Pelodiscus sinensis: one gene and its partner. The protein of the gene in region 1 purifies or fractionates together with the protein of each later gene. This does not show direct contact. Links are inferred from orthologs where the notes say so. Each region holds a gene or a part of one and is shown on either strand. Other genes may lie near its edges.

Evidence for each region.
Region 2: the proteins of YAF2 (region 1) and DCAF7 purify together in Homo sapiens (affinity purification with mass spectrometry; 3 studies listed by BioGRID and IntAct, counting the BioPlex papers as one, with this or other methods). This does not show direct contact. The link is inferred for Pelodiscus sinensis from reciprocal best matches to the Homo sapiens genes YAF2 and DCAF7.

The regions. Positions count from the first base shown.
Region 1 is NC_134711.1:53,359,906-53,363,648, forward strand, and holds the start of YAF2 (YY1-associated factor 2), read right to left. Parts: upstream 2,936-3,743; 5' UTR 2,571-2,935; coding exon 2,545-2,570; intron 2,311-2,544; coding exon 2,185-2,310; intron 1-2,184. UniProt on the Homo sapiens protein: Binds to MYC and inhibits MYC-mediated transactivation. Also binds to MYCN and enhances MYCN-dependent transcriptional activation. Increases calpain 2-mediated proteolysis of YY1 in vitro.
Region 2 is NC_134739.1:6,490,414-6,494,156, reverse strand, and holds the start of DCAF7 (DDB1- and CUL4-associated factor 7), read right to left. Parts: upstream 2,864-3,743; 5' UTR 2,614-2,863; coding exon 2,476-2,613; intron 1-2,475. UniProt on the Homo sapiens protein: Involved in craniofacial development. Acts upstream of the EDN1 pathway and is required for formation of the upper jaw equivalent, the palatoquadrate. The activity required for EDN1 pathway function differs between the first and second arches.

The DNA of each region.
Region 1 (3,743 bases):
CAGAATAAAACAATTATACCACTGGTGTACCCTAATTATCTCTCTAGCCAATGCCACTTGTACTTTTTCCCTGAAATGATTGTTTTAGTGTAATAAAACACTATTTTAACTTGCTCCAAGTCCTTAATAAAAGCTAAAGAAAGCTGTTGCCTTCACTTGTATTGAACTTGGGGAAATCTGCTTTCACTCTTACAAGCATGGTAGCTTTTTGCTGGATGCGTCTAACTATTAAGATCCGCTTCTGTTGGTGAAAGAGACAAGGTTCCCAGATCTGAAGAAGAGCTCTAGGTAAGCATAAAACCTTGTCACCTTTCACCAGCAGAAGTTGGTCCTATCAAGATTATCTCACTCATCTTGTGTGTCTACTATCCTGGGACCAACTTGGGTACAACAGTACTGAAGATCTATATCTGCAGTACTGTTGTACCCAAGTTGGTCCCAGGATAGTAGACACACAAGATGAGTGAGATAATCTTGATAGGACCAACTTCTGCTGGTGAAAGGTGACAAGGTTTTATGCTTACCTAGAGCTCTTCTTCAGATCTGGGAACCTTGTCTCTTTCACCAACAGAAGCGGACCTAGTAAAAGGTATTACCTCACTCACCTAGCTTCAATAAAGATGTATAATTCTATTAAATTCTCTGAAAACTGAAAAACCAAGTTAAGTAGAAATCTAGCCTCATTTTTAGTACTGGAAAACATAGTATGATAAGTAAATGTCAAAAGGTTATGAACCTGACTGCTATCATAAAGACAAGTCATTCTACGAACTCTCTAATAAATTTAAAGTTAGTTTTGAAAAAATATTTTTAAAAATCTTTTTTACAAATATACATCATCAAAAGAGAGAACAAGTCTATTCCTGAATTATTTGAACATTAATTTACAATAAATTCATTGCAAAAATCGTATCCAGTATTATTATGTTTTATGTTTGTAATAAAGCTCTTATAACTCTTAATAAAAGACTGTGGCATATCTCTTTTGCTAACAGGATTGACAAGATATAATACATAAATAATACTAATACTAATAATAATAATAAATAAAAGCACATGTTATTTTCTTATGCTAATGTGCAAAAGACTCCACAGTTGCACACTTGTTGGTTTTATAAAATTATCCATCCTTTAGAGCGTGTTCTAACCCAGAAGTAGATGTGGGCCAAATGCTTTTGAATAGGCCAAAAAATCTTCTTATTTACTGGGGAGCGGAAACTGATTATTATTTTCTCTGTAGTTTGGACCTTGACAAAGAAATGTGAACCCTAACAAAAAATAACTGATTACCTCTGTTCTAACCCATAATAATAGAACTATACAAACATGTTGGATCCAAATGATTCTCAGGATGTTTATGATGTTCTACGGAAAAGGTTTACTCTGAGATGTCAGTGATTTCCAGACTGACTTCACTGTATTAAAAAACTCAGCTAATTTACATTCCCTTTGAAAAAGTAGTAGCAGGGAATCACCTCTGTAGAGAGAATAAATCTCTAAGGTGGGATTGAAAAAAACAGGATAGTTCTTTAACATTAAACATAGAAATAAATAAGATTTAGGGATTTTTGTTTGGGATTTTTGAGGAAATTGAATTAAGCTACTTCATAAAGAAAAATCAATGATAATAGAAGCAAATGCTTTAGATGAAATAGCATATTGATGACCCACCATGAAAAAATGGAAGATTAACACATTGTACTTTGTAGAGACCATATTTTCACATTTTAATTTATAAAAACACCTCATTTTATGCTGCACAAAATTATTTTCATAATTAGATTAATAAACCCTATCGGCATTGTATTTCAAAAGTGTTACCTTGCATATGCTATTGTACTTTAACATAGAAAACAAAACCTAATGCAAGCACAATAAGATGCCAGTTAAGCCCCAGGAGCTCCTTGCAATGAAGGGAACTCACCTTCTCTCCCCTTCGAGAGGATTTCAGCTAGTGTCTGGACACGTATTCTGTTAATTTTATAAAAGGAAAATGCCTCTTAGCTGCTAGAGCCAAAGGGTTAAATGAGTCTGGGAGCAAACGCTGCAGCATTTCTGGTCCCTGTCCCTACAGCCCACGGGCGACGGGATCCCCCATAAACCTGACCTAGTTCCTACTGCAGCAGCCGGCTCCCTGGCACCCCGGGGCTGCTGCGCGCCGGGTCAGGGTGTCCGGACACTCACCGAGTGGAGGTGCCCTTCCTCACATCGCACATCATGCACTTGAAGGCCTCGGCGCTATTCCGGAAGGTGCACACGCTGCAGTCCCAGTAGCCCTCGTCCGAGGAGGGTTTCGGCTGCCGCTTCGGCCTGCAACACACACAACCCGGGGGGGAGGGGGGGACAGGCGGGGGCGGTGGGTCAGGCCCCGCTCGCAGCCCGGCCCGACCGCCCCCGCTGCAGCCCGGCTCCCGCGGCCGCCATGGCCGCTGCACGGCCGAGCCGGCTCGCCGCTGCTCCCGGCGCAGGGTCGGGCCCGGCCAGGAGGCGCCGCTAATCCAGGGCGCGGGCGCTGCCGGCGCCAGGCCTCCGCGCCGCCCTTACCTGGTCGGGCTCTTCTTGTCTCCCATGCCGGCTGCAGACGCGTCCCCGGCCCGGCCCTTTGTGTGTTTGTAAATAAGGAGGAGCGCGGGGGGCCCTGGCTCGAGCGGGGAGGAGGAGCCGCCGCCGCAACCTCCAGCTGTCGGGGAAACTCCGGCTCCCTCTGCCGCCCGCCGCCCCCTCCTCCCTCACGTGTCCCCCCGCCGCCAACCAGCGGCCGCCCGCAGCCCTCCGAGCCCCCGGCAGCGCGAGGCGGCAGGTTCGCATCTGCTGGCGGCGCCAGCCGGCCTGAGGGGAGCGGGCGGCGAGCTGCTGAGGCGGCGGCGCAGCCCTCGTCGCTCGCCCCACAGCGCGCGCGCTGGCTGGCTGGAGGGGGCAACGGGATGGGAGCTCGTGTGTGTGCTGGGCCAGCCACCCCCGCCCCCGTGTGCGGGCTAGGGGTCCCCGCCCTGCGGGGAGTGACGGCGTGGGGGTCCCCCGGCCATTGTGTTGTCTCCTGCGCCTGTAACAGCTTGCCTAACAGCACATGGCAAGCAAGCTGCCAGGCGGGCTGAGAGACAGATCCCCTCTGCAGCAATGACATATGTATTTCATACAGGCCGTGCCTGTTTTGATATATTGCAGATGCAACGTGCATGTGCTGACAGATATGACAGAACCACTTTCCTATTGCACGAACCACGTTCCTGTTGCACGTAAATCAATATGCCATCTCACCTAGGATGATATGTAAATTACACACAAGGCAAGAGTGTGCCCAATCCTCATAAAGGCAGGACTGATCCAGAAGGCCTCTTCCTTTCATCTCTTCAAACCACATCTCTTCCTCTGTGTCAGGGTCCTGGCCTCATTCATCAGCTCCAAACTGGATAACTGAATATAAATATGAACAATGCTAACAGGTGGTACAGAATGAGGCAGCACACTTTCTCCGCAGATTAGGCCACAGCAACACTAGTTATTGGTCTATTTTCATTGCCAGTCCAAAGCCGTGGGCATGCTGTTGAAAGCCATTCATGGATCTGGTCTTACTAGGGTTATCAACCCTCCAAGATTGTCCTGGAGTCTCCGGGAATTCAAGATTAATTTTTAATTAAAGATTATGTTATGTGATGAAATCTCCAGGAATATGTCCAACCAAATTTGGCAACTCAAGGTCCTAAGTACATTAGCGATTACATTTCCATCTATGAATTACTAGT
Region 2 (3,743 bases), on another chromosome or scaffold:
TTTGCATACACAGTGCTAGAGCATCATGTTTTGAATAGATTGTAACCTGACAGGATGCAGATAGCTATGGGATGCAGCCACTTTTTTAATCAAATGTTTTGGATTTTATTATGATACCCATTGTTCTTTTAGCCTCTCTGTACCGTGGAAAAATGCTGACTGTCACTGCATTTTTCAGAGTGTGTTTCCCTTCTGACATATAAAACTTTAACCTTCAGATGTTTTTGAATTACTCACTACAAGGCGCTTCCAAAGAGAGTCAGTGTTTTCCTCCCAAATAACTCAATCTAGCAGAGTATAAATAGTCCCCCCCTCCCTTTTTTTTGGGGGGGGGGGGAAGGTAAGAGAGAGAAATAAAGCCGGAAAGTTTCAGGTCAAGAGAATTTTTGGAGGAAATTGCAAGCGAGAAGGTTTTTAATGGCAGTAAACTGTCATTACATTCCTTTTTTAATCTGTCACTCTGACAAAAAGCCTGGCCCCCCAAAAGACCATTAACCCCAAACTTAGTTTATTTCCCATCCTACCACCACACTACACTCTTAAAAGGGAAACATATATTTCTCTCTGCAAGTTTCCACCTGCTCTGACATCACCTAATCTACTTTATATTTGAGAGTTTGTCTTTGTGTGTGCATCTGTTCAAGAAATCCCTCCTAAATAGTAAGAGCTAGGACCATCACATTCGGGATACAGCTTCCTCTTATTATCCATAACTTAAAACACAGTAAGAATCTGGTTGGGCCTGGGACAGGATTGCTCCTCATACAACCATGAAGAGAGACAGAATCACCAGGCATGTGGCAAGGGGCTGACAGGGTTCCCCACACCCAGGACTGCCCCAATTTGTGAGGGAACATTACTGGCTGTTCCCCTTCCTCATGCAGTGGAACATTCAGTGTTTGCTACATTCCTCACTCAGGCTGCAGAGCACAGAGGACAGACAAATCTGCACCTGCTCCAGTCAGGGGACATGCTACCCTCCCTCAGCTGTGTCCCCAGAGCTGTATCCGCCATGGATTGCTGCTTCTCACCTGACCTCAAGCTGCTACAGTGATCCTCTCTCCCCAGGGCAGCCTGCATATTCAACCACTCATTTCTAGCTCTACCCCAAGGCAATGATTCAAATGAAACATGGACAGTTGCATGATATTTTCCAAAACCCAAAAGTTAATTGAGTTCAGGACTCGAGCAACACGAGGTAAATCTTTAAGTATTATAACTGAAATTCACTTTTTTCAACAGCACTCTGTAGAGTTCATTTCCTCCAGTTTGTGTGAGGTCTTTCACGGTTGATGATTTATATTGGAGGCACAAATGGCACTAGGATTGTCAATGGGAAAACCACTCATTTGTTAAAAATTAGTTACAATTATCTTATGACTCTCCACTCTCCCTTGTTCCGATGCTAACTTTTGCCATTTTACAATTGCATTTCCTTGTTTAAATCTCCTATGTGTGTGAAACTGGCACGAACAGCCTGCTGATTAAAGCTAGACATCACATTTGGATAGCACATTAGATGCGTGGGTAATAATTTAGTCAGTGTAAGATGCCACCACCTCAGCCACAGGACTGTCCCAATCTTGTTACGGTTCTCCACAAAGTTATAAGCCACACCACTCTCCTATGCCATCTCCCCTAGGAGAAAGAAAGAAGCCTGGACACTCACTGGCCCCACAGGGCAACTATACAAGGCCCTGCGCAGCGATGAAGACGCACAAGGGGCAGTGGCAAAGTCTCTCCTATGGGCTTTCCGAGGAGCACAAGGCCAGGAAGGGGGTGGGGGCTCGCAGCAACAGGCAGTGACACATTTCCACCACTCTCTTGGAAGTGCCGCACAAAGAACTCCGTGACTGGCCTACCGAGTGTGGCAGCCACCTTACCCTTAACTCCAACCCATGATCCCACACTTCCTGCCTTACCCTTAACTATACCCCTTGGCTCACAACCCCGCTCTCCTTACCCTTAACTCTGCCCCTTTTCCCACAACCCCACCTTACCCTTAACTATACCCCGTGACCCGTAACCCCGCCCTCTCCTTACCCTTAACTCTGCCCCTTTTCCCACAACCCCACCTTACCTTTAACTATACCCCATGACCTGTAACCCCACCCTCTCCTTACCCTTAACTCTGCCTCTTGGCCCTCCTTAACCTTAACTCTGCCCCTTTTCCCACAACCCCACCTTACCTTTAACTATACCCCATGACCGGTAACCCCGCCCTCTCCTTACCCTTAACTCTGCCCCTTTTCCCCACAACCCCACCTTACCCCATGACCGGTAACCCCGCCCTCTCCTTACCCTTAACTCTGCCCCTTTTCCCACAACCCCACCTTACCTTTAACTATACCCCATGACCGGTAACCCCGCCCTCTCCTTACCCTTAACTCTGCCCCTTTTCCCCACAACCCCACCTTACCCCGTGACCCGTAACCCCGCCCCCTCCTCACCCTTAACTCTGCCCCTCCCCCGCACCTTGTTGTTATACTCTTCCACGAAGCTGCCGAGCGCCAGGCGAAAGCGCTTGTCGGGCCGGACGCTCCAGTTCATGGCGTACACGGTCCATGGCGCCTCGTACTTGTAGATCTCCTTCCGCTTCCCGTGCAGCGACATGGCGGGGCCGCCGGGTTACCGGGGTGGGGGAGGGGCCGGGGGCCCGGGTGAGACGCGCGGGGGGAGGGGCTGTCCCGGGCCGAGCGGGGCCTACGGAAGCCGGGCACCGACGGGCCGAGCGGGGCTGCGGGGGGAGACCGCGGCCGGCTCCGAAAGGCGGAGACGCTCAGCGCTCGCCGCGGCGGAGACCGTTTGGGATTCGGCCCCCTCACACAACGGGAGCGGAAACCACGCGGGCTGCCCCGCCTCCTCCGCGTCCGTTGGCTGAGTCCGCCGCCACTCAGGGCATCGCGGACAGCCGCTGGGTGAGGAACCTGCCCGTCAGAGCCGTCCCTGCCTCTTATTGGCCCCTGTGCCGCTCGTTCTAAGGAGGAGCGCGCCGCCGTAATAGAATCCTCCGCTCGATCCCGCCCCCGACGGATGGGATGCTCTTTCTCAGCAGCTCATTGGCTGCGACGGGTCGCAGTGGCTTCGCTCCTTCATGAGGCGGGACCTTCTAGCACCCTGTCATTCTATTGGCTGGCCAAAGGTGTCAGTAAGGGGTGAGCTGGTGGGCAGCGGGCGGGGCTTGGGGCCCCTGTAGGGGTTAACAGAGCTCTTTGAGCTGTGTAGAGTTACAGGTTCGAATCCCAGGTCTTATAACTGGGTGGGGTATAACTACCCTGAGCAGGTCAGCTCGGCAGTGTTTAGGCTGGTAAGTTTTTCTGGAAAAAGATTTTTTTTTTTGCCTAAAAAGATTGCCAGCTGTCTACACTGGCCGCTTGAATTTCCGCAAGAACACTGACTTCCTGCTATCTGAAATCAGTGCTTCTTGTGGAAATACTATGCTGCTCCCGTGCGGGTAAAAGTCCCTTTTGTGCAAAGCTTTTGCGCAAAAGGGCCAGTGTAGACAGCTCAGATTTAACCAGAAAGGACACTCTCTAAATGACTTAGCCACCTGCATTCTGCTACAAAGACCTTTTACATCTGCACTTGAAAGGGAATCCTCTGAACTGTCATTCATGTTAAAATTCGACACTTGCCAACAAGGACTTAACAAGAATTTGAACTATCTCACCCATTACCAAGACAGTTTCCCCAATTATCACCTGTAATACCATTAACTCACAAACATCCCACTCTCCCTACCT